3 linked regions of the Drosophila melanogaster genome follow. Changing the gene in region 3 together with the main gene of any one other region gives a genetic interaction. Each region holds a gene or a part of one and is shown on either strand. Other genes may lie near its edges. The genes, in order: shn, ey and brk.

Evidence for each region.
Region 1: of brk (region 3) and shn, changing one suppresses a phenotype caused by changing the other (phenotypic suppression), as found in Drosophila melanogaster (3 studies listed by BioGRID).
Region 2: of brk (region 3) and ey, changing one suppresses a phenotype caused by changing the other (phenotypic suppression), as found in Drosophila melanogaster (one study listed by BioGRID).

What each region holds. Positions count from the first base shown.
Region 1 is NT_033778.4:11,168,940-11,179,309, forward strand, and holds the start of shn (schnurri), read left to right. Parts: upstream 1-4,863; 5' UTR 4,864-5,835; coding exon 5,836-5,866; intron 5,867-10,370.
Region 2 is NC_004353.4:698,807-709,176, reverse strand, and holds the start of ey (eyeless), read right to left. Parts: upstream 4,527-10,370; 5' UTR 4,013-4,526; coding exon 3,904-4,012; intron 1,749-3,903; exon of another isoform or gene 1,686-1,748; coding exon 1,506-1,685; intron 1-1,505. UniProt on the Drosophila melanogaster protein: Involved in eye morphogenesis.
Region 3 is NC_004354.4:7,303,202-7,313,571, reverse strand, and holds brk (brinker), read right to left. Parts: upstream 5,634-10,370; 5' UTR 5,100-5,633; coding exon 2,985-5,099; 3' UTR 2,440-2,984; downstream 1-2,439.

The sequences.
Region 1 (10,370 bases), on a different chromosome or scaffold from region 3:
GTGCATGTCAATTTCAAGGAATTGTATGAACTACTTGGGAAAAAGAAAAATAAGATATATAAATTCAAATAACAAAATCTAAAGAAAAAGCTTTGTTACAGACATTATGGTATGGCATATTGTTCAAACATTTTATGAAGGCAGTTCCATTTAAATAAGAAGTATTTTTCTATTTGTGAAATTTTCATCCAACTCGAAAATGCAGGTATTTTTGCCAAATAGTAGGTATTAACAGTTCGAATCATTAAGGAACATTAATTTGTTTTTGGCGGTATTGTTTTGATTTTTTTTGGTTTCTGACTCAGGTAAATTGGCTGGTCCAACAATGCCAAATCTTTCGACATATTTATAAATTAACCTTCAACCTTAAAGCAAACTCAAAAGCAAAAAAAAAAAATAGCAACGGAGAGACGGAACAAAAAATGCCAGGAAAAAGCGCCACGCTTTGGGGAAAACCATGAAAAAATCTCGTGAGATATATGCGCGACTATGTTTTCGTACCGTTTGTGGATGCCTAGTGGGAAAATTGAGTGGTTGGTGGGTGGCTGCTGGCTCTTATGTACACAGACATCTGCCGAAAACCTCGAAAATTGTTTATTGTTTACTTTTTGCACTCAACGTCTTGTTGAAAAGCAACCAGCCGTATCAATAATGCGAGAACGGTAGGAGATGCTAAGTGTTTCTCAGAAGGGCAGAGAAGTTATTTATTTAACTGGTACCGGAACAATATCGGAACATTCCCACTGCTCTACATTTTTTTATGATTTTCACAAATGCAGCATTAAATTGGGATTGGCGGTTGTCTTTGTGGCATTTAATTCTGCTTTCATGCAAAGAGGGAGGTTTTCTCTTCATCAAGAGGATCGATTACACGAAATCAAAGCAATCGCATTAGGTGTTTTTTCGTTTCATCTGTGGATTATTTCAACTTGACGAAATTATTCGAAATGGCTTGCTGTTTAAAACATGTGCGAAATGCTCAACTCTAACTTTTTAGCCATGAATGAGCGTTTATATTTCTCAACCTAACCATTAACATTTGATTTATTTAGTTCCATTATAAAGGCTTATATTACTTGATTACTTGTCGGTGGCCCAATATTTATGCAATGCCATGTTCGTAGCGCTAAAACTGATTACTCACTGCTGTCAATCGTGTAGTCGTGGAAATTTGGTGGCTTGCCCAGCGGGATGGCCACTAATGAGACAAATCCCTTCGATGGCCTTTGTTCGTTGCGAAAGATTCGTTGACGGAAACCAATCATTGAACCTAACCGACAGCAGTTGAAGTCCTTGTGGCCTGGTTAATTAACTTCGGGCCACTGTCGTCATAAATTGCACCCCTGTCCCAAAGTCTAATGCCCGAATTTAAGGCACATAAATTGGGATTTATGTGGGCGAAAGGCAGCATTGTTTGGCCAGAGAGTTTTTCGTAAGTGAGAGCATCTCATGCAAGCATTACTTATTTAATTTAGACTATGCCCCTTGGTAATTGACGATAATGAAGTCGCTGGATGGACAACAGAGCTTCCAGGCCAGTTCTGCTTTTATTATGCAACATTAAAATGCCACATGGCGTGCCGCAAGGCTCGACTTATTAAAAAACATCCAACAGGGATGTCACCTCATGCTGGTGTCTCAATGATTTTCAGTATGGAATGGAATGGCTGGCGCCATTGTGTGTGGCAGAAAGGAAGACCATTTCCACTACCGAATTGTGTGGTTTTTTTTTTTACCAATTTTTCATCTACGTTTAATTTATTCTTTTATGTCCCGAGCGTGTTGCTTTTGATGTGCCCACAATGTCGGCGCCGCAAGTTTTGCAACCGACATACATAAATAAAACTTAAGCATTCCACAAGCGGCAGCCACATTGAGTGTGATCCATGTGCTCGTTTCATCCTGTTGAGTGCGGCTTGGGTTTTTGGACGGGTTTGCGTTGGCTGATGCGGTTGGACATCAATTTCCTATTGTGGTAGGATTTCCGCTTTCAGATTGATATTTTGTGTTCGCCCGAATTCCCATTTGGCCCAAAGCGTGGTCAAGTACTACACCCACACACACACACACACACACGCACACAAAGAAAGCCAAACTTAGCCGGGGGCATCGCATTCAGACTCCTCGGGAACGCCATTCGTTATGCATATGATCAATTAAATACAGAACATTTAACAGCAGCCATTTTTGTGTGGTCCGAAATACGGAACTAGAATAGTTTACCGCCATTTACCGAAACATAAAAGGTCATGGCGAACAATGAATTTCCTATTTTACTACTTTTAATCAATGGGATAAGGGAAAATAATGCTTGTTCATTCGCAGCGCTGGAAGTTCAAAAACGTCTATTATAATTATTAAAATCAAATGATTTTTGGGCCACCGTAAACGTAATAAAACGTAATAATTATTTTTGCAAAATACAGAGCTGAATATTAAAATGTTTCCTTTATCTTTTTGCCAAATTTCCATAATGAAAGATACCTTGCCATTTCACAAATTCAAGATCATACAATACAAAATAGCCTGAAACCAAATCGCAGTACAATGAAATCGTGGAATTAAATAAAAAGCCGTCCTATATTCAAATTATACGCTATTTACCCTTTTGTTTCACCCCAGTAACCAAAGATAAAAGGTTACGAAAAAATTTCGTCATTGAACTGAATTATTTTGTTTACCAACCTAAAAGAATTCCGATACAAAAATTACAATATACAAATTAATGTCATATTTGAGAACAAAGGCGTAAAAATAATTAGTAACATCAAACGAACAATCATCAATCAAATTAAATAGATTCCCAGGAAAAAAAAACTCTTTTAATATCAAATAAAACAACATATTTCTGAAACCCTTTTCCACTCAAATTGAAGGTATGAATAATATTTCTTTTTTTTTGCGCCAGTTTTTCATTCAGACACCCGTTGCGGTTTCTTTTGTTCATTTTATGGAAATTAAAATTGATGATATTTAAATTTGGTGATAATTGAACATTATTTTTATGGCACTCACATTTGCGTTTTATTTCTTTTGCTGGCTTATTTGGTTGGAATGGTTCTGTTTAGATAGAAGAATAGAAGTATGTAGCAAACACACTTTTTTGAAACGATGTGTGGAATTTTTATGAGGCAGCTTGTAAATAATTTTTTTTTTTTCTTCAATTTTGTTACTTTCGTTTTTCAACTGGATTTCCCTGACTTTTCAACAGACCGGTCTGTTTGATCCGCACTGTGATCCTTTCACGCGCTCTGTTATTTTCCGACTGCAAGTGAAATTCCGACGGACGTTTTTCATTTGGCGCCAAAGTGTTCGGCACCACGAATTTCCCCTCCTTCCAGCTTCCAGTTTCGAACTGCTTTCGCACTGGAACTGGAAGGCCTTCTAGCCGGGCGAACATACACACGCACACGAACAATTTCCAATTGGGCGCCTGCGCCAATTGTAAACAAAGAACAGCTGTTCGAACATAGTACATATATTCGTTTTCATTGACGATGGAGCATAGTATAACACAGGGGGGGGGGGGTGCAGGGGGGTTAACTCTGAACATAAGGATGAGTGATGTGATTAGGGTGGTCACGCGTGCGGCTCTAATAAATATCAATGATTTGTGAAAATTCTTAAAAGAAACAAACCACATTTATTGAAAGTCGTTTAGGCCAAACATCGTATATCTTCCCATATGAATTTAAATTGAAGGGCGGCCGTTGGCGTTTTGGGGCTGGCAAATGAGGCTCAAGGCCACGCCTTTTACTTGTCACTTTGGCTGGGAATTCTCACAGCTGTCAGCCAAAATCCCATCCACTTGACATCGCCATCGCCAATGTTCTGCGATATGTTCTTCTTTTCTTCACATATGTACATATTTTCGCCAGCACTTAATTTCCTTTGAAGCCGCATTATTTCAGCCTTTCGACACCAGGCGTTACGAGGCGTTGCGGCTCGAACAGCTTTCGACTGGGCCCAAAGTGTCTGCCTTAAATGAATCGGAAACATTAATGGCTGTATCAAAGAATAGGACGCCTTCATTTAAACGTCTTCATTTAATTCATCGAATTTGCTATTTTTATGCATATGAATATTAAATTAAGTCGAAACATTACTATCATTGGAATGGATACGATTCTATGTGCAGTAATTAAAATGTGTTTCAACAGAGTACATATCTTAGAATCAAACTTCATCTATAATTTAGAATAATTTTTAAACCATGAATTAAATGTTTATCTTCGTTATTTTCGCTGCGAGTTGCAGCAGCTAGTTTATAAGGTTTGTGTGTTCGTCCCACCAAGTTTATGATTATTAAAATATATTATAATGACATGTTTATATTTTTAGCAACTCCTTATAATTAATTTATCAAATCGCCTAAATCAATGCTTTTCCACTGAAGCACCATGTTGTTTTTTGATATTGCATACATTTAGGCTTAGAAAAGTATTACCTTTTTATCAATTGTGTGGATAATCTTAAAAATGTAAATTAGCAAACTGATAAAACAGACAACCCAGGTATTATCACAGCGCAGGTAAGCCAAGTAAATAACGCTTATCATCTGGAGCTCCTGCTATTGGCATTTAAGCTTTGGACACACACACACACACACAATACTGATAAGGCGACTCTCTTAGCGAACTCTCTTCGCTGCTCTGTGAGTGGGAAAAGAAAAAAGGTAAACAGACAAGTTGAAAGGCGATTTTCGATTGAAACGAAACGGCTGGTCGAATTGAAAGCCACTTACGTCGCTCTTTGGCTCTCTCATTTGTGCGCCAAAAGAGAGCTCACTTTGGGTGTGCTCTTGGCGTTCGGGCTTTTGGCTTTGGCTTTGGCTTTTGGGGGCCTAACGGATTCTCGCTGGCTCTGTTTGTCCGTGAACGCCGACGTCGACGCACGCCTCTCGTTTTCGCGCGCTTCTCGCACTTCTCGGTAAATGCGCAAAAAAGCCAGCAACGAAATCAAATCAAGTCAAATCGCAACGCATGGTGAATAACATGTCCGTTTTATTAATAGATTCCGCAACAGCCATATAGCGCATATTTCGAAAGAGATATATAATATATATGAAATAAAGTGAGGCCCTCGGATGAAACAGTGTTGATAAGGAGTGTACATACATACACACACGCAGCACATAAAACTGAAAGAATTCGCGGCGCGCGCGATTTAGTTGCGAATATTGCGTATACGCAGGGTCTGTCAAAAGTAATACAAATCAAACAAAACCTACCACAACAAAAATAAGGAACGGCATATCAAACCGAACATTTCCGAATTGAGGTTTTTTTTACACAGCGAGCAGAGGATACGCCTACATGGATTTATATAGCACAATTACAGCAACCAAGGATACTGAGACTTGGGCAGGATAGCAGCGATGCCAGCCAGCGGGTTGCAATCTCCACCAGGTCGACAGGCAAGCGGCATATCAGGATAATACCAGGGACTTGGACATCATGGCTCCTCTATTTGTCTAGTTGGCAAATACCAGCGAACCGGGAACCAGGCCACACACACACACACCCATACACTCGCTTACACACACAAACACACACACACGCGCGCGCTCATACGCTCAGACAAACAAGGACGCTTGTCATTGTGTGCGTCAAGGACGTCGACACACGTACAAGCTTTGTTGCTGTTGTGCCATACAAACAGACCAGAACCAGTGTCGCAAGTGGGCGTGCCAGCGGGTAGGCGGCCTCTGATTAAATATACATCAGTCAAGCGCAAGGATCCTAATTTCCAGCAGTATTGTTCTGTGCAAAAGGACAACGGGACAGCGGACAGCGGACAGCGCCAAAACGGGACACCAACTTTGAAGCAGGGAAAATGGCGCGACGCAAGGGCAGCGGTCGAGGCAGTAAGTACATTTTCCTGTTAATTATTCAAATCAAGCGTGAGTTCGAAAATATGCCAGCGAAATTCCGGGAAATTGCCTCTTCTCAAGGATTTTAAGCTATTTTGCAAACGTTTCCATAAAGTGTTTACAAGGAAAAGGGACCCAATATCCACAATTTCTATGCTGACTTTTCTTTGGAATCTTTATATTTAGTGGTTCTATTATAAGATCGAACTTTGACTGCTTTGTTCTTGATAACAAATTCACTCCAAGTAGTTTGTTGATTATTAAAAGAACTCCAGCGGTCTTAAAAAAATTGGGCTTCAGCTCAAGGACGACGAGTTTCACAGCTGCCATATGGCAAGACAGTAAGTCCTTGCTTCAGAGCTTCAAAGAATCTCGTCAAGTGCAGTGATTTTTTCTTGGCGGCTCAAAGGGAAAAATATGTAATTAAGAATGTATGTAGTATTCAGCCACGCCCCCACTCGAAACCTCTGGCTGTATCTATAAGATATATATTTTTTTGCATTATTATTTGTGTGCCATGAGTGCTCCACTCGCAAGAGAGAGAGAGAGAGAGAGGGACGGGGCGAGAGCAAAGAGAGGGAGGGCATGCATAAAACATGAAACAACAGCGTCAGTAGTCACTTTTCATTGCATTGCGCCCACGCCCAACCACCCACAGTCCCCTTATCATTTTAATTCAGTTGCGTTGGCGCGCGCGCTGCAAAATGTTGGGGATTCCCTTACGTAATCCCCCAGCGCACACAAAAGGCAAACAAACAAACAGGCACACAAACAAACGCACACTCACAGGGCAGCGGCAAACAAAACAAAAACACAAACGAAATGGGCAAAAGAAAGGGGGAAAAACAGAGAGCTGAAATAAAGGAAAACAGAAAGCGGGTGAAAAGCAGAGAAGCTGAAAAACAGAAGAAAAAAAAAACGTAAAAACAGACGCAAACAAGGCAGCTTGTTTGCCAGCCAGTCGCAATCGGAATTGCCCCATGTAAAATGGTCTGAAAATCAAGCTCAGCCAGCGTCATGAACTTTTGGCGCAGCTCACCCGCTCAACAGGCAGCCTAGCTCACAGATACGCAGATACAAAGATACAGATACAAAAGGCGCACAGTCACAGATACTCGACTTGCACATCCACAATCGCTATAGCCGAGATACTTTGCGTCACGTCACGCCGCCTGTTAGTCAAGTTGCTCTGTGCGCTGCGTTACTCATGCCACAATTTGAACCTATTAAAAAGCCAGATACTTTCTTGTGCCCGCCCCAACCCGCGACATCCGCAGATACTTTTGCCAAATGAGATACAAGTGTGCTGCCTGGCTTTTGATATATGCCAAGTACTGCTCGCTGGGCGGATACAGTGCGCATTCCATCAGCTGCAGCTAAATGCTTTAAATGAATTTACTTTTCATTTCAAAACCAAACCGACTAGGCAACCAGTAATTGAATATATTCAATCCGATCAATCACTTTTTTTTTATTGAACTTGATTTAATTAATATGTCACAACGTGAGCGTTTTATTTCGCCTTTTGAAACAATAAACCAGTAATTAAATATAACATTCTTAAATAAATATATTAAAACTATTTTATAGCATTTTAAACCAATTATGCTGAAATGTTATAAATATTTATATTCGAAATATTATTGTTTTAATAACAATAATAACAACTTAACTTTTTAAACAATGTTGTTGAGACTTTAACTCAACCATTTTGTTTTGTAAACCATGACCAATTGAAAATACTTGGCAACTTGGAGAGAGATTATTTGAAATACTTCTTAAATATATTTCAAAATCATCAAACCTTTAACATGAAAGTCGTCCTTCCATGGAGTACCCACTGTAGCAGGCGCAACATGCTCAAAGAGTTTGGCTCCAACTTGACTTCCAGCTGCCGATGGGTTTTGGTTTTGGTATGCAGACGACTTTGGGTATGGGTTTGAGTATGGTTGGGGGAATGGGAATAGGAATGGGTATGGGTTTGGGTTTTGAGTTTGAGTTTGATCTTTGAGGTTGGGTAGCTGGGCCGAAACACTTAAGCTGGCTTTGGCTTTGTCTTTGTCTTTGACTTTGCCTTTGCGTTGCCAGCGAGTTGGCCGTAATCTCTTTTCGCCTTCGTCTAACGACGTCAAAATTAAAATAGACTTTGCTCAGGGTTCTCGGAACCGTACTCGCATTGCCTTTTGCCTTGGCTCTGGGCCATTGTGCGGATAATTTATGGCGGGGGACTAGAGACCAGGGAATGGAAATGGAAATGGAAATGGAGTTGGGTGAGGAAATCCCACCCACTCCCTGCGGCTGGCATTTCCCCGCACTTTTATTTGAGAGTATTTTCATTCCATCGCTACCTTTGTTTCTGTTTCCCTTTGGCAACTTTGCTTGGCCCGTTCGCATTCCATTTTCCTTTTCGAATGAAAAAGAAAAGCCTTTAGTTTGCGTAGTTTTTGCCATTCAAGAGGGGTTGCTTTTCATTATGGCAGCCAGGAAGGAAGTGATGCAGGGCGTGGGCTTCGTGTTTGGAGTCCTCTCAAGTGCTAGCTAGTAACTGCCTATGTAGGTCTAGGTGTGGCCTAAACGAAGCCCATATCCATTTGATGATTGCTCTGATTCCGTTTGTAGCTCGGGATTAACTGGTTGGGTTAGAAGGGAAAGCTCTATTTGGCTTCAAATTGAAATCGTTTCAATAGATTGATTCCTTTGTGTTTAAAGATTATTATCCTTATTAATTATTAAATGATTCATGAACTTAACATTATAGCTTTTATGGTATAGTTATTTACTAACCTGGCTTAATCCAATACAATTTACAAAAATCAGGCAACAATCCCTAAACGAATACAATTTCCTGAGTCACAGTTTACCCAATCTGCCAAATTGGTTAGCCCCTTCTTTTTTGGGCCATATCATAGCCGTAAACAAACACTACACTTCAACTTTTCCTGGGACGCCTTTTAGGCCACGCCCAGAAAATTCTCTCTTCTGTCACCGCCCCCTCTCGACCACTAAAAAGGTCATGGCAGCGGGGAGGGCAACAAAAAGAACCAAAAAATTACAAAAAAACGGGAAGGAAAACAAGGAAAGCAGCGAAAATAAAAAGGGAAATAAATAAACGTGAACTGAAATCCAGGGCCCAACTTTACCTATGAGTTTGAGCAAAAATAAAACCCCATACCTGTAGCAAAAGGACCTGGCACACCGAACGAAAAACGTACATACTTACAAACAAACGTATGTATTTGCAGGGCAATGGCAAACAGCAAAAAAAAAATAAAAACAAGAAATTAAGGGAAAAGTTGGCAGCTGGCAAAAAAAAAGAAGGGAAAAACAAGGCAGAACTCATGTGCGTGTGTGTGTGTGTGTGTGAGTGTGCTGGCAAGCCTCTTCATCACCCAAATACATGCACACCACCCACACATTCAAGGCAAGTCTATGAAAGCGCAGGGCTTCCCCAAATGATAAAGTTTTATTTGCTTTTGCGGGCGCACATTGGATTCTTTTTTTTTTCAGCCACTGCTTTTTTCTTTTTTTTGTTTTTGTATATTTTGTGGGGCAGCTGGCAGCAGAGAAGCCGGCGTCGCCGTCGACGCCAGCAGCACTTCACCACAATAAAACGAACATTGAACGATGATGATGACGCCGAAGATGGGGCGTTGGGGGTGGTGGTGGTGTTGGTTATGGGGATGATGACGTTGCCACAGAAAGGCGAACATTAAACCAAGTCAACCAACCACTCGGGAATTGGCCAAGATGAAGCGAGCTGAGGATACCCCATAAAATGTGATACATTTTAGCATTCTTATAGTATATCAACTAATTTATAAATTATCCTGTGAATTCCAACAAACAGGCTTAATTATTCCTGTTGGGCTAATAAAATGTTAAGTATTGAAAACTGATAGTATATCCATATTCTTATGGTTCAAACTTTAGTCTGAGAATCTATTTTTTTGCTGCCCACTTATGGATAGTAATTACTTAGAGAACTTGCTTTATTCCCTAGCCACGTTGATAATACCCGTTTTTAGAAACTCTGCTGGGTAGCGACGAGCTTAACACAAATGAGTAGGCAACCAATGAGTGAGATAGAGCGTCACGGAGTGAAAGAGAAGGTGCGATGGGAAAATGGTGGAAAATGTTGGAAAAAAAAAAGGGGGGGGGGGTGTGACAAGGAAACGTGAGCTTGGCCCCCTTAACAACCCGATGTGTCATGGGTGCGAGCCTTGTTGGCTTGACTATGGCCAATGTAAGTTGCTGCTGCACTGAAAGCAAAAGTAGAATACTAAATGACTAAAATTATCTTAAAAGGTGTATAAAAATAGGCAATGGTTTCTGAAATATTCGAATTATACAGTTCATGCAGTTCAAAGGTCAAATTAACAATTTCAATATATTGTAAAACTTTTCAAACCGTTTCAAACCTACTCGAACTATTTAAAGCAAAAGCTTATGAGTGCTTAAGATTCCTTTTGGTTTATGTGATTTTCGTAGAAAGTAGTTC
Region 2 (10,370 bases), on a different chromosome or scaffold from region 3:
GGAGATGGACCCTCTAGGGGACTGGTCCATCCATTCAGGGGCAGGGACTGATTTTCCTCGCATGCGAAAATGGACAGAACAGCGGGGTGAGTCTACAAAGACCACGGATACAATGCCAATATGCGTCGGTTCCCGGCAGCCGCTAAAGAGGCTCATTTGGCATTTTTGAGTGCATTGTGTGTGTTTGTATTTACTCGACTTCGGCTTTCAGAGCCATTAATTGTTTCCATTTGTAGCGACTTTACACGAAACGGTCGTCGACAACGAACACACACTTCAAGATCATTAAAGCTGGAAAATTATTGTATTGATTCACGGGCACTACAATAGGGTGACCTGACAGAGAGTACTTAACAGCTCGACGGGCCCGGGATGAGGTTACGTTTAGAAAAGGGATTTGAGGAATGCCTATAATCTACTCCGCAATTCGTAAATTATTGTTTGACTCATCACCGTCTTGAAAGTCTATGCCGATCCCAATTGTCACCGATGATCACCTCTACCCATTGTGCCACTATAATTGGCAGCATGTGCGAGATTTGGAGTCAGCTACTGAACAATGCCATTCCATTCAGCTGTATGCTTTGGGCTTACCCAGACATTGAGCTGTTTTCACACCAATAACAAATCTTCGTGACACATGTTTAGCAATACAAAAAAATTAGCGCGATGTCTTCATACAAGTATTTTGAAATGTTTCCTTAATCTTCTCGGGTCGAGCTATGAAATAGGTATACCTAGTGATTTTGCAGTGGAAAATTATAATAAATTGGAAATACTATAATTATTCACCTCATCCTATATCAGTAAAAGAGCTGTTCTTTAAGTCTTAATATAACTGGATAAAACATTTAGGTTTTTTAGTTTCCGATATCTAATCGCGTATACGGACGAACATTCTGATCAAGAATGTAAATACTTTATTGGTTCGGAAAATCCACCTTCTTCGTGTTACACACTTTTTCTCTAAAAGTGAATTGTATATCTATAAACTAAGGTTCGTCGTACGGTAAAACCATTTCTGTTGTTATTAAAAAGCTTTTGATAATATAACGAATAACAAGCTCTTAATTTATAATACTTGCGGTGTATTAATAGATGTTAGAAATAAATAAAGTGAACTATGAATACAAAAATGTCCTTGGACATTTTCTGAACGCCAAACTACTCTCGGTAATGTTTTTAGAAACAGAACACCAAAGTCGATTTGAAGTTTATAGTAGCCCCCAACATAGGGCAGAATCAAAATACATATCTGTTATCTATCCTAACTGGTATTTAGTGCAAGAAACTGCGATTACACACTAAATTTGCAAAGCTTATGGATCGGTTAGACTCAATAAAATCTATTAATGGTGTATTCATATTTAGTTTATGTAAAGACGGTCTGTGTGTATAAATTTTAATCTATTGGTGAATGTGATATAATAGTATTATAATCGGGGCTATCTGAAATCGAGTGAAAGCGGGAGGGGTTTAGCTATGCGTTATTTATTAAAACGTACATTCATCATCGGTTAAATGGTAGTAAGTTGTGGCGAAGTATGAAGATGTCGAATGGGGATGTGACGCTGTGCTGGCTTCCACGGCTTCCATAGTAGGGGAAGGTTTCCCAGCAATACCGCCTAGTCCGCTACCACCAGCGGTACCCAAACAGGGTAAATTTCTCATTGCAATCACATTGTCTATAAAAAAGAAAATCAAAGGAGTAAAATTCGTATCAAGAAGTCAGTTTGTACTTGGAATTCATTTATAATAATAGTGGAATAGATCTTTAAATTTGAACCAACTTTGAACTTGCTTAAGTGTTTATAAAAATGTAACATATTTTAAGTACTAGTACTTGTAGAGTAAAAGGGTATACTAGATTCGTTCAAAAGTGTGTAACAGGTAGAAGGAAGCGTTTCGACCACATAAAGTATATATATTTTTGATCAGGATCAAAGCTAAGTCATTCTGGCCATGTCCGTCCGTATGAACGTCCAGATCTCATACAGAGGCATACAGAATACAGAATACCCACTCAAACGCACTAAAACCGCCCTAAACTGCCACACCCACACTTTCAAACCATTTTTAAATATTTTCTCATTTTATTCCCGCATATATATTTGCATTCCGTTTGCATTCCCACTAGCGAAGTGAAGGGTATCTGATAGTCGGAACTCGACTAAAGCATTCTCTTTTGTTTTATTTATTCTCTTTGTAATCTATCTATAATCTGAAATCTACTGCAAAAGTTGCCGAACACTCTGCAGATTTTTTGTCCTAGTCTCTAAAGAACATGCATTATTAAACACTCTGAATTCGGGAACTAAAATACTGCAAATTTTAAATTAGACCTGTGTTTGATCGAGAAACTCTACTATAACATTTTCTCTTATTTCAGTTAAGAAGTTGAGCCAGATTGCATAGGAATTAGAATTATTTCATTACATTGTTAGTTACATATTTTCTTACATATATCAGTTATATGTATTAATTAAATTCGGTATACTCTACTTTTTTTGGCAATATAAAATTTCAGGTCATAGTTCGATTCGAATTATTTTTTGTAATATATTATACCTGCAACGAATTGAAAAATCAGGATTACCTAATTGTTTTAATTAAACTGAAACCCAAAAACATAAGCTATGTATTTGGGTTATCATTTTATTGCGAGATAAAAGTGCAAAAAAATGTATTAAAAGTAATCAAACTAATTTCGATTTCAGCAGTAAGCCGCATAGTTTTAAACCTTGCAGGAAAAGACTTCGCAACTTGCGTGCAGAAGGTAGTCGTGAAGAATACAAACGGATAAATCATAGCTAGGTATACAACCAAATGGTTAAAGAATTCAACTAGAATATCACTTTTGACCTAAGCTATTACTTAAAAGAACTAGTTTAAAAAGTTCCCAGTATGAACGAATATATACCATAGACTACTTGGGCCGTTTATGGGGCTTTTAGAAGGAGGCGCTTAATCTTTTTCAGTTAGCGTTATGAGCTAAAACAGGAGAAAGAGAGCTATAGTCCGGTTTATTGACTATCAAATACCCGTAATTGGGCTGCATGTGTGAACGAGAAATTGCAATCTTTTGGCTCTTATAGTTCCTAAGAACTCGACGTCCATGCAGACGGACATGGCTAGACGGACATGGCTAGATTGACCGATTGACCATGATCAAGAATATATATACTTTAAATTTAAAAAATCTAATAACCCTTTAATCTATGAGTAACGAGTATACAAATTTGTATAAAACGAAAGAGTCAGCTAGTATGAAGTACTCAATAATCATATACGCGCGGGATAGCATGAGATACGCCCGTAGGAACGCCATTGATCATTAAACGCCTTTGCGTTGTAATTTACAATGTGAGTGAGTGACAATGGTTTAATATAAAATTAAGCTGCGTATGCATTACTGGAATTTGCATAATTCCTACTTATTTCGCTTCCAAAGGTCTCGACGTCAATACTGACGGACAGACATGCCAACGGTCATCGGAAAATCGACTAGCCGGGAACTCTTCCTTCCACTAACTACTTTAAATACAAATTAGCAACAAGCTACGGGTATAATACAAATATAGGTTTTTCGAATTATAAGAGTCACGGCGAAGATTTGAATATCTTTGATTTGGACAATTTATACGGAGTATAAAGCCGTCTTACTCTCGGGAGTTTGAGTTTGAGAGAAGAGTTCGCAAACGATTCAGTTCAGAAGCTTTTTATCTATTGGTAAACTGCGCCAAAAGAGACCAACAGCCGAACGAAACTGCACTCGCCTAGTAGGACCGGATCAACTGCCCATGGGCAGCATTAACATATGTGTTGGCTAAGACTCATATATATTTATAAGAGGGTCGGATAAAGACGATGATGCCAATCAAGAAATTTAAAAAATTCACTTACCCTTGTGAGCCATGTCTTCTAAAGACGGCAGGCGCTCTATCAATGTTCCCGCTGACCATGGGGGAACCACGGTGCCTATAGCAGTTGGAGTTGGTTGCAATGTAAACATAGTTGGATCTCAGTTTTTATTACATGCACTGCTCATGAAAGCTTTAGCCAAGAGACTGCTGTGTTCAGCCAAACGCACGCCGTGCGAACTCTTGCAGGGCGAGTCAAGCAAGAGTTAAGAGTAAATTTGCGCAGATGGTGAGAATGACGTCCTGCAGTGATCAAAAAACCTATTGTTGATCGCGCCGTGAGGACCTAAGAGTTACGAATTCGGAAACACAAATATAACTGAGCAGCCGCTTTTGTTTTAGTTCACTTGTTCATTTTTCGAACGCCACTTTTGATTGCACTCATGTTAGCATCATATTTGTACTGCACGTAACACGTATTATTCCCGGGTCTACCGATTGCTAACTTAGCCGGTAATTTCATTTGATATAAAGATTAATACGCACGGTGAATCGAACAACCTTTCTTAAACTTCGCGACACGGCGGCGGAACAGTATTTACCTTAGAAGCGCAACACGAAATAATAATGTCACGACCTGCCTACCCGGATCCGTTTCAGAAACAGACTAGGCCGACCCTCGGCTGGCCAGCACCCCCCTGCGCAAAAGGCTGGGTTTGTTGCCACGGAACCGCGTGCGATTGGCAAAGACCAGCATGGCTGGTCCACTCACCACCATTTGCTATAGGCTAGCCCCATGATTGGTTGTTGAAGCACACCAGTTGTCCCTCTCGCACCCGTGTAAGGTTAGTTGGCGGAAGATGAAAGCGATTCGGCACGGTGCAGTTCTGCAGCTGCGTTGTGTCGTTAAGCATATCGTGGCAACGGAATCTGAAAATAAAGGAAGAACCAACTCTAGACGGACCAGCAGCACATAATGGAATGGTTTGGTCCTGAACAGACATGAAAGTGCTGGTCTGGAACTGGATGTTGTTCCTTCCAGCAAGAAACTGTGTGTAAACGGTGCAGCGCCTGCCGCTTTCACCGCCTTTCGAGAAGTCGCCCAGTGCCACACCCCCCCCCCCCCCAGCAATTACACACATGTTGCATTCCATTTGAATTCAAGCTGGCCAGACAAGTTGCCAGCAGCACACTCGTCCAATGGAATTGTTTCATTCCGATACAATAAGCGCTTCACATTTCCGTTAACTACCCGCACGTTTCCGCTTCGGCAGTGCGAGCCTACACACACAGCCATATCGAGGGGAGCTGGGTGTGGGCGTACGGTTGTTTAGTAAAATGTCGACAAGCCTAAGCACGGTCACACCCACCAGCCACCATCCCATAAGCTGTCGTCACATGTGGAGGCTGGGTGGGCCCCAAAGAGGAAGTTCCTGTCCTGCTTTTGCGCCGCACAGCGAGAGAACGAGTTGCCAATAGCCTGAAAGGGACGGCCAGTGTTATGGCTAAAAGGCCATGTTTCAAAATCCTCTAGAGAAATATTAAAAAACTATAGCGCACCTACACGACTGTATGGGATAATGTCGATTTAAGTGCAATTCACAAAATTCAACAGCAATATCCGGCCAATTTTTCTGTTTCCAATACAATTGGGCTCTCCAATGCGAAGAGTTCTTCTCACACGGTTTATAACGTCCTTATGACTTCTGAAAAGTGAAATGTAATAATAATGCATATTACTTCTAAGTCACTTCCAGAATGTTTTTAATGTACCCTTGCAATAGTTCTACATTGTATTTATAATATTTAATTTTGTTCTGTCGAAATTTGTAGCAAATCTGAAAGAATTGGGGTTGAAATATTTGACATATTTTAAAAACATTAGCAATCACTAAACAATTTAACCAAGCCCGTTGACATTTTTATGAATAAAATGCACGCACGATCGATATCTGAATATATGTGAGAATGTTAGGCGCGCAACTGTTCTAAATACTTAACTTACTGGGCGTTTCATTGACTATAAAATGTTTGAACTTACTTTCGCACATGTAATTTTTATTATTACAGGTAAGACTGAATCATTTTCATTTGATCCGATTGCCATATCCCTTTATAATATTCAAGATTTAATATGCACAGATTACATCATAAAACGCCTAAAGGTGGAGGAAACAAATGTTTTTATTAGGCTACATGGTAGCACATGAAAGTATGTCCCCCGCAGGAAGCTGAATCAGCCCTGCTATCATCATATTATCTTCGCACTGGTGCTGAGGATGGAACGCAGCCCAAGCAATCGCCACGTGGCACGTGCCAACGACACGGCACATGCTCGTGGAGCAAAAAGTTGTTCCGTTTCGGCTTAGTCTGCTTCAGATGCAGACCGCCTCCGAGGGTTTCGACACCCATATATTAATAATAGCAAGAATCGCCAATAAAAAACTCTTCGTTTGGAGATTGGCTAGGTCGTCGATTCAGTAAGTGATCGAGATCTGGAATACATGTACTTACATATATATGCTGTTAACGGGATGGAAGTCTGGGTAGGCGGGTATCAATAATACATTTGCGGGCAAAATGTCTCCAAGGGTATATTAAGATATAGGCACTATAGAGTTCTTTCTGACTGTTTTGTGAGTACCGCGATAACAAACATAGCATATGAGTAGAATCGGACAGATGGCTGGGTGGGCGAAAAGATTAGCTACAATAGTTATATAAAAGCATATGTATGTATTTACTTAATTCTCAATTCGCTCATTTGAGTACAAAATCTTATCTATCTGTTACCACCGTCAACGAAAATATCTGATATGAAATGTATTAAGTGGCCCTGTTAACAATATAACTGCCGCCTTTCCTTTTGCATATCTAGTAACGGGAACCTAAGAGTCGAGGAACTCAGCTATAGTATAGACTCTTGCTTAAAACTGACGTTTTTGGCCAAACAAGCTTTTTTCGGCTTAACGCGTAATGTTTTAATGAAAACGCGGCCCATAACGAGCTTTAGTATTTAGCTTATACAATTAAGAAGAAAGAAGGCTAATAGCTTCCCACTCACCAAAGAAACGACATACCACCTCTCCCATTTCTTCCACCACCACCAATTTAGATTTAAGATGATGAAAAATACCCAATCCAGATGGCTATTACATACAGCCAGTGTGTGTGCGGCAACAGTTGCTTTTGTGCTGACATAAAAAAGCGTCGTTCTTCTTATCGTCTGTCCGCAAGACTTCACACGGCCACGCAATGGTATTTAGGGGTGGGGAACGAGAAAAGGGGCGTCTAGCTGTTATATCGCCAAAGTTCGTAGAAAATTCAATAAGGACCTCCGCAAGTTAGTCCACAATCTGTCACAAGACTCAGTTTCTTGAGAAGAGTTTTAATTTGAACAAGGAAGGTCAAAACACCCTAGGTATAAAAAGTCAAGTCAAGCTATCCTTTTACAAAAAAAAAAAAGAGTTAAAGAATCTACGTAATATGTTATTTAATTTGTAAGTTTTAAAAAATATAAATGAAAGATTTTTATTTGGTTTTCGACTTGAAAAAATGCATTCATTTGAGAGCAGGGACTTTTGGCTCGTGATCGTAACCCTGAATATGTATAGACTATAGGGTCGACCATGTAATTTAAGCAGTTACTAAATGATTTACTGCTGATCTTCAATGTGACATTGACCATGAAATATAGATATATTTTTCACGAAATTTGCTTAATCCGTAATAAAACGCTACAATTATCACTTGAAATTACTAGCTAGCACGAACGTATAAAAGGTCCCCCGCTGGGAATTCAAATAACGAGCCATTAAACAATTAAGGCAGCCCCAGACACGGCTCACTGAAAACCGAACCATACCCGGCCTGGAGATGACCAGCGAAGCATTTGGCCAACCAACCAAATACAAACATGGAAAAGGCTTTTGGAAAGGGCCCAAGGGGAATCCCTAGAAGGCAAGCTTTTGGTGTGGGTGCTTCACGCTCACGGGGGGTTCACATACGCCCTTTCTGAAAGAGGCAGCCACTGTAAATATGCTTCAATTATTATGAACATTCCGTGTCCGCGCCTTTCGCGCCCGACCACCGACCACGCACACCCATTGCCTGAAGTTTCCGACTATCACTTAACTGGACGAAAAGTACTTCGAGTGACAATACCCTACAGGTGGTACTGTGTACAAAGCTCATTCGTAATTAAGGAAACCATGCTGAGCTTGAAACATTGGAGCCGTGATTTCATATTATTCCCCTTCAAGATAGAGGCACAGTGTTCTGTCGGAGTAACTAATAATAAATTCAATGCGATTTTCATAAAAAAAATATAAAATAAAAAATGTTTAAAAATTGCAACGTGTGGGCGTGACAGTTTTGGTATGTTTTTGGTATGCCAATAGAAATAAAGTAATAAAAAAAAACTTGGGTTGTTTGTGAGCGTAGCGACATCAAGAATCAAATGTCCGCTGTGTCCGCCTCTGGAATATGCATAAACAATCCCACCTCATACCTTTTATTGTTCCCGAGATTTCGATCTTCGTACGGAAGGATGATGTCCGTCCGACCAGAATATAGTAGCACGCTATAACGCTATATAGTGCAAGCGCCCTTCCTTCTTCCTGTTGCAGACAGTTCAACCAATCTAATGCGTATAATCAGAATATCTATACAATACGCAATGTGGAGTGTGTTCCTTTTGCTTTATACCCGTTACTCGTAAAGTTTAATTTTTGATATTTCTTAAAGTATTTCATAAAAGGTTAAACATTTAAATTGGTTACGATATCGCCTTTACGATTTAAGTTATTTTTTAGCACGCCACCTTTTTCCTCCTGGAACGAAAATTGATGTACACTCTTTGTATACGGTGTGATTAAATCGCATTAAATTCAACCGAGCGAAAGAGAAAGTCTTAAAATATTATCAGCGGATTAAAATCAAATTTAACAAAGTAAAGTGGTTGGAAGTTTTTGCTAGTGCCCAGTGGCCTTGCTCAGCCATATCAAGTGCTTCTCATCCATCCCGAGCGTAAATATAGCACAATTATAAAACTTGAAATAACTGCGTCCTTAACAGCGATAAATGTAAGCCCCTTACCCGTAGAGTGCCCAGCTAGACTATATTCTTTAAGTTCGCAATAGATAAAAAAAAGCGATTTTTTCTTTTTATTCACATATTTCACGATCACAAAACGAGTCTACTAGGCCACGTCCGCCTATCCGTACTTATGTCAGTCCAGCCGTGTAAACTTTGAGATTTCAGTAACTAACTATCAAGGCCAGAAATTTGAGACAAAGCATGCATACGTACACTTTTTAAAAATATTAAAACGTATTTCCTTATTGTCTAGCTGCTTTCTATCGATTTGACAAAAAGAAATATGGAAATTTCTGCTTTGAACTCCCACTAGGAGCTCAACTGAAGTACAAGTTTAGACAATTGTGGCTGATGGGGTTTCATAAGAAGACATTCCCAAATATACATTTTTGGGGATCATAAAATTAAAACTTTTTGTGAATTTTGGTTTGATACAGGACGTTGTTTTATATTTATTTGAACTATATAAAATGTACTTATTCGGTATCAAAATGAATAGTGGTTTCTTCCAACATTCACATGCCTTTAAATGTTTTATATTTCTTTTTACAAAACAATTAGGGTTGCCACGCTGTTGGGCTTTCACGAACAATAGCTTCTCATGATCATGAAAATTTCAAACTTAAGGTTCTATTTTGAAAACAAACAAAAACTTGTAAATGCAAACTACGAATAATACAAATAAAACCATAATTGCATGTGTTCACACGAGAATCGATAGCAGACCGGCTAACCCGCTTCCCGACTTGGCTCCTAGGGGTTGCACTGCAAAGATCGTGATCGAACAGTTGTAAAGTTCCCTAAACCCATGCAAAGCAACTTTTTTTTTCCCGCTGTGAGGCCCAACAAGGAAGATCAAAGTGTTCGATCTGCCCAAACTGGAAATAACAAAGAGGAGTCGATATAAGCGTCTTACGGTAATGCCTTTAGTACCAAACTAGTGGGGTTCACTGGGAGAAGTTCCTGAATCCTGGGGTTGAGACCTTTAAATATATTAAATTCTTGACTAGTCATAAGGCCTGCGATTTCTTAAATAACAAGCAATGTTACTTTATTGACTGCAGTTTATAATTTTTAATAATTCACTATAAATTGGCTTGCCAAAATAAAAAACCATTATTACACCCATTATTATTATTTTATGCTTTGAAGATTATGTAGCAAATAGAAGAGAGCGTTTCCGACCATATAAAGTATATATATTATTGATCAGTATCAATAGCCGAGTCAATATGAACATGTTCGTCTGTTCGTCCGTCTAACCATATGAACGCCGCGATCTCAGGAACTAATAAAGCTATAGAGTTGACTTGCAGATTCCAGAGACATAGACGCAGCTCAAGTTTGTTTACCCATGTCAACATAACCCCATAACCCATAACCCCACGCCCGCACTTTTGAAATTTGAATTGT
Region 3 (10,370 bases):
CAGAGACGATCGCCATCTGCAAAGTACTCGAGATTCGTGATTCGAGTCTCGGGACTCAGGTGAATTCTGCTGCTTTGCTATGTGCCAGTGTCTTCTTCCCCTATTTACTTTGTAAAACTTGGCTGGCTGCAAATCAAAATATATATATATATATATATTTTTTTTTTTTTTGTTACGTCCGAACGATCGAAATTTGTCACGTGGCATTAAAGGCAGCAACAAAAACCACATATTTTTGGATGGTAAAAGAAAAGCGAGCAAAAGTTTACACGGGGCAACGCGGTTCGAAGAAAATAGCACGAAAATAAATTGAAATTTAGCAATCATCTGCGGTCGCTCCTCCCACAGTTTCCCGGTACCAATGGACCCCACCTCGACATACATACATACGTACATATGTACGCTCCTCTTGGGGATTCTGGCCCCTGATCTTAGCCATTTTCGTCGTACCTTACCATAGTTTGTTTGGTGGTCCTATTTGTGGTTATTGGTTCTCATCCTTGCGTTTCTGATCTTTTCCATTGATTCTTCTCCATAGTTTCTAGTTTCAACTTCTTGAACACCTCTTATCTTTCATAGATTAAAGATTATATAACTGTACTGTTATAGACTAAGTAAACTTTGGTACTGTTGGTACTTCCTAATCTGATTTAGTGTTCCATTTCGTTGTGTTCTTTTGACTTTTGTGTTGATCTAGCTGTTGTCCACTCCTCCCGAATTGATTCCCCGTTCCTATTTCTTTTGTTCCTCATCCCTTCCACTTAACTACGTCCCTAGTTGGACTTGACTACGTGGGAACGATCACCTGAACGATCAAATCGCATAGATGCCAACAGTTCCGATCTGCCAGCACAGTCTCCACCCTTTTGTACACAGAGAAAAAAAAATGCGATGCAACAAATGTTGGCTAAGTGATAAGAACATTATGGTATACAAGAGAGTATACCTTGTTCATTTAATGGCAGCTAGTGTCTATGAATATTACTTTTCATAAAGTAGTGGAATATTTTTCGCCTTGTGCATGACTAGTGGGTATCCCGTGGGGTCTATTTTGTCCGCAAATGTCGCAAAAATTCTTTGGCAGCGATCGCTCGGATTTGCCTTTTGCTCTGCAGAAGGGAAAGCGCGTCAAGTGAAAAACAATGAGTATGCCGCTCTGTCTCAAGAACCGATCCCCCAAACCGATCCAATCCGATCCGATCCGATACGATACGATACGATAGCTGCCGTCTGTGGCAGTTGCGGTGGTGCTGATGCTGATGCTGATGCTAATGCTGATGTGGATGTGGCTGTGGATCGCAGTGGTGCTGAATGCTGCGGCTCGGGGCTCGTGATTGGCGCACACATTGGCAAACGAGAGCACTTTATTTTTAAACGTTTTAAAAATACGATCATTATAGAATTTGCGGCTTAGTCATACCCCGCCGTTGAAATGTGCCAAGCGAATTTGACCAGAAACCGAGTAGCTCGCGGAGGGCGGTGGGTGGTCTAGTCTGTGCGTAGGGGATGGGGGGGGGGGGGGGCAGGGGGCGTGGCACAGGCACTCGAAATGGAAAGCCCCAAAGCCTTAAGCTATGCCCTGACTTGAGTGACTGACTGACTGACTGACTGACAACCCATGAGTTGTCACAATGAGGCACGCAAATAACGCACACACATTTGAATGGCACATTCGGTATGATCGCAAAGATCAAACGGCGATCGGTTCTATAAATGGGGCCTTAACCTCACACTGACAGCTAAGAAGAATTGCGGAGCTAAAGGCAGGTCGATTTTTCTCGAATCTAGATTATCCCAATTGATGCGGCGGGGGTGTATTGATATTGATTTTTTTTTTTTTTGAACCCAGAAACCAAAAAAGATCTTATAGATAGATCCCTGAAATATTTGCAGTCATCTGAAAAGCAATGACTTCATTCGAAACCCAACGCAAATGCAATGATAAAACCAGTTTAATTTAAAGTTTTTTTAGTTTTCTGTTGTTAATTTAATCAATTCGTTTTCCTTTTGATTTTGTTGTTTGTTTGTTGTATGGTCACACAATTATTATTATTATTATTGTTGTTGTCAAATGTAATATATAAAAATACTGATTTTATATATATACATACATTTAGATATATATATCTCTTTCTCTATGTATAGGCGCATTTAATATTTCCCTTGGCAATGAAAAAAAAAAAAAAACGTTCTCCTCTTGTTTGTATATAAATATATTGTATATATGTATATTGTATATCATTATAATTAACTTTTAAATGTAACCCTTAATATTACGTTAAATTTCTTGCTCTCTTTTGTGTTTGTAAATATATATTTATGTATAATATAGCTGTATATTCAATAAGCTTCAGTTTTCAACAATTTTATTAAAATTTTGTTTTGTTGTTGTCATATCACAAGAATTTTCAATTTTCAATTTCCAAATAAAAAAAGTGTGTATTGTAAAGGTGTGTATTTGTTTCGTTTTTAAAGCTTTACTCTTAACAATTTTCTCAGTTTTTCCAGTTGCATTTTTCACATTTTCTCTCTTAAAATACTCTCCCACAAGTTATACAAATGAAATGAAGCGTTGAAATTCTTAAGCAAATTCAATTGTTTCGCCTTGTTTCACTTTTTGTACACAATTATTTACACAAGCTAATACAAGAAAAAAAAAAAGAAAAATCTGAACTTAAGCTTAATTTGTTCTTAGTGTGTAACCAAAAAAAAAAGAAGGGTTTATACCTAGGGTTTGGGGTTTTTTTTGCTGATATGCTTGGAAGATATATGTTTGCGCTTAGATATACAATTTTTTATTAAGGTAAACTTAGGTGGTAGGGCTAAAAAAAACGTTATTAAGCTTAAATATGGCTTAGGGAACTAAAAGGCCAGGCCCAGTGACTGCCATTATAACATCCGATTGGTGGGATTGCTGCTTCCTTAGTTTCTATTGTGTGTGTTGTTTGTTGTGTGTGTGTGTGTGTGTGTGTGTGTGTGTGTTCTTAGGCCACCAGGGTCAGGTTTGTGGGCGCAGTATCCGCCACGAGAATCAGTGGTCGGTTGACGGATGATGTCCTCGCAGTGGCCAAGGACTCCTGATCCAGCCAGCGCTGCAGGTGCTGCTGATGTTGCAGGTGATGCTGCTGTTGCTGCTGCTGCTGCTGCTGTTGCATGTACATCAGATTGTCGTTGTAGACGGCATGCAGCTGGAGATTGAGGCTGTAGTTGCTGCCGCTGTCGCTGTAGGTGGATGAGCTGCTCTCGTAACCGGAAACGGGCGATCCTTTGGGGCAACAGAAGCCGGTGGGCGAGAGGGCGGGCGCCGAGAATGGGCTGAGGGGCGTGGTGGCTTTGCTGGAGCTGCAGTTGTCCTGAAATTGCTGATTAGGACTCCCGCCGGCGACGGGAAATGTCTGCTGCTGTTGCATACTGGTGGGGCACTGAAAGCTGCTGGTGATCGAACTGCCGGGCGATACACAGCCACCGGGATACGGATGGTTGCTCCAGATGATGGGTTCCCTTTGTTCGTTGATTGCCGATGGCTTTTTCTTGAGGCGACGCTGTTTCTTGTCGGCCGCCTCCTTGGAGTCCACCTCATCATCGTCGGCATAGCGGGACTCTTCCTCGTCGTCCTGCTCCTCCTCGGCAGCTCCCTCATCCAAATCCTCCTGCCGATGGTGATGGTGATGATGATGATGATCCTGCTCCTCATCATCGTCCAGCAAATAGGGCTTAAATAGCTTGACCTGTTTAGAGGGCAGCTTGTGCTCCTCCGGCTGCTCCGTCTCCACGTCCACCTCCACATCCTCGTTCTCCGTTTCCGTTTCGGGCTCCTTCTTGATCACCTCCTCCAGCTTACTAATCTTATCCGGCTGCATCGGACTAGTGATGACCTTACGTTTGCGGAAAGTGAGATCCACACCAGATGGATCCTTTTCGTGCAACTGCATTTGACGGCGGGCAGAGGATCCGAGAGAGAGGTCCATGGGGGCTGGTGTGGCAACCGCCTCCAGTCGATTCTCCAAATAGCCATGCAGATTGTGATGGTAGGCAAAGGGCACATGTGGAATGTGACTGGCTGACGATGTGGACCCAGGGGATCCGCTCAGGATTGGCACTTGTATTGGCACTTGGTTGCTGTTGCAGCTATTGCTGCTGCTGCTGCTGTTGTGGCAACTACTGTTATTGCTGCTCGGCAATGTGTTGCTGCTGCTGCTGCTGCTGGCGGGGATTGTTGCTGTCGGTGTGGGATTGCCATTGCTGGTGGCCATGGCGGCGGCAACAACAGCGGCTATTTTGGCCGCCGAAAGGACATTCGAGGATCCCTGATTGCTGCCATTGGTAGCAATGGTTGCAGGTGTCTCCTGCTGTGACTGCTGCTGATCCTGTTGCTGCTGCTCCTGCTGCAACTGCTGCTGCTGCTGCTGTTGCTCCTTCTGATGCTGCATTTGAGGATGCATTGCCACCGGGACATGCAAGTGGGGATGGGCGGCCAGGGGGTGTGGAACCATGCCATTGGCTGCCAGCAAATGGTGGGCGGCATGATGGTGGGCTGCTGCTGCTGCTGCTGCCGCTGCTGCTGCCGCCGCTGCTGCTGCAGCGTGATGATGATGGGCGGCATGATGGTGGGCGGCATGATGATGATGATGACCCACCGCGGCGGCGTGATGGTGATGCAACTGGTGCACCAGCGGATGGCTCAGCTGATGGAACACCTTGACCGCCGGTGTCGGCGATACCGATTGCTGTGGGAGTAGTTGCTGCTGCTGCTGTTGTTGCTGCTGTTGCTGTTGCTGCTGCTGCTGCTGTTGCTGATTGTTGGCCACCGATGATCGCAAATTTGACTCGCATTGCAACCATTTTTGGATTTGCCGGCGGTGAATGTTGTATTTCCTGGCCGTGGCCCGTTGATTGCCCTTGCAATCATTATCATTCCTGTATGATTCGAGGACTTGCAGCTTAAAGTGGGGCGTGAAAATCCGACGACTTCCCATTTTGGGGCTGCCCGAAGAATTGCCATTATTTGTGTGGCTGTTTGTGGCATTCTCCGAAGAATCCTTGGGCCGCTTGAAATTCAAAGCTCCCGATCCGTTCAACTGTTCGCTGCTGCTATCCATGATTATGGTTTATTTTCGTGGCGTTCTTTAAAGATTGTTTTTATTTTCCCAAGATTCTGGTCAGTTTTGTGTGTATTTTTGTTGATTTTAATGTAGCGAAATAATAGTCAAACAAGTGTGTTTTGCAGTAGTAGTAGGTAGTAAGTTTTAGGTGCTTTTGTTGTAGCTGTTGTTGCTACTTGCGTGCGACGCTTGCGCTTTCATAACTCGCGATCTGGCAGCTCTGTCCCCAAAGCAGCGACGTCGACTGCGACGCGTCTCACATACACACACTGGCACACACTCGCTCTGATACTTTTTGGAGTTTATTTGAAAGCACTTTTCAAAATCCGTTTCAAATCTATATAGTTGTGTATATTTCGATTGGTATAGATCGGATAAATAAAACACAGTTAAAAAAAATATATGTCTGCGTGCTGTTGCTTCTTCTGCTCTTTTCCTTTTCTTGTTAGCTACTTCTCGTACGTTTTACTACGCTCTTCTCATAACTCGCGTTTGCGATCCGCACGGCAAGGAATCCAAAACACAATTGTTCTGCCCTCGGCGTTCTAGTTCGAAGATACGTTCTAGACTGCCTCGCCTCGGCCGGCGTCGCTGCCGGCGCCGCCGTCGACTGCGGTTCACTCTGAAATGCTCACGCACACAGGCGTAAAGTGCCTGCCTGTCTGCTGTGCGCTGCTGTTGTTGTTGCTGCTGTTCGTGTGGGTGTTCGTGTGCGTGCAGCAGTGGGAGAGAGAGTGAGAGGGGGAGCTAGAGAGCGAGCAACAGAGAGAGAGCGCATGGCGCTGAAGCTGAGCATTGCAGACAAACTGACGACAATCGTGTCGCGAGGTGTCTGCGCTTGCATGTGTGCGTGCTTGGAGTGCAAGTGCGAGCGGGATGCCATAATACCAGTTCCCTTTTGCGGCGCTTTTGTTGCTGCTGTGCCGTGCTGTGCTGAGTTGTGTGCACGGTGGGACCGAATGGACAACATGGGACGGAGCAACCCATTCCCCCGTCCCTGTGCGCCACAGTCTTTGTCCACTCTTTTCGATTGCCACAGTCACCCGACTGACTGACTAACTGACAAACACCGCGAACCGCACAGTGGGACCAATTCGTATGGCTTTTTTTTATATAAAAAATAAAAAAAATATTATATGATACCTAAAAACATGGAATAGAACAAATCAAAAGATAACATTTTTAACAGCGAGATAATATAACACATTTTCTTCTTCTTTAATAATTAAAAAACCCTTTATCAATTTATAGGCCATCGAGTCAATAAGTGAAACGCGTTTCAAATTCTTCTATCTCTAAAACATTGTTAGCTATCTGCCAACAACAGATTATTGTTTTAAACATAAACCCAAAGTCGACAAATGTTCGCACTACTTGGAAACCATTTTTAAATTCTGTTTACAAAAATTAGTTTTTTACATGTATTAGTAGGCCCACACTTAACCCTTTGCTGGCAGCTTTTTGTGCCACTGTGTCGCAGCACAGTTTGTTAGCGGCTGCGGTTGCTGTTGCCGTGTTGCGTTGTGTTGTTGTTTCTGGCTGCGCTACAAATTCGCTGGCTCTGCCAGTTGCTCATACAGATACACACACGCACACACACGTGTGCAAAAGGCACCTTTGAATGGTGTGCGTGTGTGCGCCAGAGTCGTGGCTGCCAGACATTCTGGCACTGCCACTCCACACGCCGCCCTCCCCCATACCCCTTCCACATCGGCCAGAGCCCCCCACCCCTTTTGACCCACACCCCTGTGCCCACGTCCCCCGTCAGCATACACACACACATCCGTAGAAACCGCGCAACAGATCGTCGAACGAACTTGTTGAGCGCCGCTCTCTCGCCAACCAAACCGCCCGCTCTCTCTCTTCCTTTTGCTCTCTCTTGAATCAACTGTTGAATGCATTGCTGCATTTTTTATATTTTTACACACACATAGAGCCAGACGAACACAGAGGTTTCCAACTATCTTGGTTTTTTTTTTACTCGTTGTTATGGCCGTGGGTGCATATATACCATATAGCTTTAGCTTATTTCTGTCGACGTTGCCGCCGTTCTGTCTAAGCTTAGAAAAATTGAAAAAATAAAACAATGCAACGAAAAAGAACTAAAAGGGCATGCAATAAGTGCAGCAACAATATGTGTACAAGAGAACCTCTCCGCACTTGTTGCAAATGACAAACCGAAATGCTGCCTCTGCTTCGTTACCAGCTTACTCTGCTTCTTCTGTTCTCCTGCCTCGGCAAAATCTGGATTCATGAATGAAACACACACACACACTGCCGCAGACACCTCGCTCTCTTTCGCTATTTGCATGCGTGTGTGGTTCTGTGTGTGCGTGATTTTTTTTTGTCGGAGACAGTGGGCTGCTTCGCTTGCGTGTGTATGCAAATTTATGAAAATAAAAATAGAAAAAATGACATAAAACAAATCAAATATATGGTGTTGTTGTTGAGCATCAATTTGCGCGTGCGGTATGGTAAGATGAAGTGGGAAAGGGAAAGGACTAGCGATCTTTGAGTCACCTATGTACCTCTTACAAAAAAAATAACAAAAACCAGCAAAAGAAAAAAAGCAACAACTATACATAGATATCTGGGGTTCAGATTCCCACGTCTCTGCTGCCCCCGCCCCACTGTACCCAATCCCAAACCGCCGCCCCCGCCACCGTCCCACTGTGCCCACGAATCAAAAGCCGACGACGGACTGTCTGGAAAGATCAAGGAAGCTGGAAAGGGACGGCAAGACAAGATGGAGCCTGCGAAGCGCCTGCACAAGAAAAAAAAGAAATACAACAAGCGGGAAGAACAGCGAGAAATAAACTTCGATGCACTGACAAAAAAGGGCTTAAAAGGAGCTCTAAAATCGGTAACGAACTTAAACCTAAAAACTAAACTAAACTAAAAAAAAAGTTAAGTTCCAAAGTAATAAATTGAAAAATTACTTAAAATTCAACAACTAAAAAGATTTAAAAACAATAGATATTACTAACAAATATCATACAATATTAATATTAAAAATTAATAGAAATTTTGAAAAAATCTGTAAGACGCCAAAGATAAAACCCTTTAAAAAAGGCGAGAGAAATACATTTTGGAATTGCATTTCCAAGTAAAGCGGCCACAAACAACCCAAAAATATGCCGAAAAAACGCACACACACTCGGCCCGAAAAATTCAAACGACAAAAAGTTCAAAAGCAACACACACACTGGCACAGAAAAATCAAAAGAATTCCACTTTTTTTTTTATTTAGACCCCGTCGGCTTCTAAATCGATTTATCAAAAACAAAACAAAAAAAAAGAAGCGGAAAAGACGAAGGCAAAGAGATAAAAATTGAATATAAAAAGGTAACGTAAAAATCGAAGAAACCTATACACACATCCACCCATACCCATGAATTGATTAAAAAGTTGAAGAAAAAAAAAAGAAGTATAAAAAAATTGGGAAAGGGAAAGGGCGCGGCAGCCGACGAAAAAGGAAAAGAAGGAGAACGACGTGCTGGGGCACTTATGATCTCCAATCTCGTCGAGAATGGGCAGGAGATGGAGGTGAAGACGGCGGTGGCGGAGACGGAAGACGAGTGGTAGGAGTAGAAGAACCTTAGGTTGCTTTTTTTCATCGACGCTGCCGCCGCGCTGTCTGCGTTTGAATAAGCCCACACAAACAAACAGACTAAAAATGAAACAAGGAGAGAGATGTGGCAAGGAGAGGAGAACGAGCGCTTGAAGACTGAAGAATCGCAAGATGGAGCCCCAAGAAGATGAAGCACAAATGCCAGGATACCGAAAACTATACCAATCTAAACTCTTGAAAGATATGACGCTTTGCGTATCCTAGCATTAAAAAGATCATCTTGTAATCTATGTTCAGGATATAGTCGGAAGGAAAGAAATTCTGGATATTGTCCTTTGAATGTGTTCAGGATACGATCGAAAGTTCAAAGTTTGTGCTCTTAACTATTATTTTTGGACAGTCTTCTATCTTCCCAAGAAATCGTATGACATCTCTTGTGGTTTATACCCACACCTTGTGCACCTTCTTATGCATCTGCACCGAATTAAAATAAGAAAAAAAACAAACTGTAAATTCCTCAACTATGAAGGCAGGCATACTCATTTAGCCTATGACTAAACGGAAAGAGAACAAAAAATATAGGTACATATGAGTCTTATCAGGTGATAAGATCAAACAAAGGCGATCCAAGTGCCAAGTTCTATTTGTCGGCCAATAAAAGTCGATTCTGTAAACAATTTTCGACGCAATGGGGCTCGAGCAATTACAAAGTGCACTATATATATATGTATGTAGTGGCATCCACAATCGGAATCGTGAATACACGGGGTATTTATTTATGTGTATATGTATGTATGTATATATGTACGGCCGCACACTCATGTCGGCACTATCTATCCGAACACGTAGTGCCCCCGGGTTATCGGTTGGGGGCCCCTGCTGCAATCTCTTCGCCACTGACCACTTCGGTATCTTTATGGGGCTTTGGGGGTACGTCACCCCTCGAATAAACCCTATTCGCCAGTGCCCCCACCGATCCCACGTGGGTCGATCACGTTTCGGGCGGCGAACAAAAACTAGATCCAGGAAAACATTGTACAAGTGCTAAATTATATCAGTTGAAGGCCTAAATGATATAGTATGTACGTACGAATAGTTGTTGCAAAGTGCAGGTTCCACTCTTGCACTCTTAGCAAGCCATCTTGACTTGGAACACGTCTCTTGAGCATTCTGATAAATTTATATCAAAATGCTGGAATGTAAAAAGAGTAAACATTTTTAAAAATAACTGATTAGCTTGATAAAAAAGCTAAAACTAATCATTTTTTGTACAATGTTTTGAAATGCTATGATGATTACGTCTATTGGAAAGTCTAGCTGCCATCTAGGCTTTTAATAGCTCTTTATCGCAATGTTTTACGGCTAGTAACTAAAGCTTTTGAGTGTGAAATATATTATTTTCACTAATGAGATTAGTAAGCTTCTCAGTCGGCGCACAAACGATGTAGTTTGGTCTCCTTTTTAAAGTCTCCTGGGCTGTGAAAATCACGAAGATCATGTGCTGATGACTGAATATTGCACACTCTTATGCTTTTCCTTCGAATGACGCTTGCATTTTCCGATTTTCCGGTTAATTATTTGCTGTGCCACTGAGAATGTGTGAAATATCCATTTTCAGTTCATCTCCTCGAATGTTTATCTTCCCTTTTTCGAAGTACTGGTGTTTGCCCAATCTTAACGACTTCCAATGGTAACAT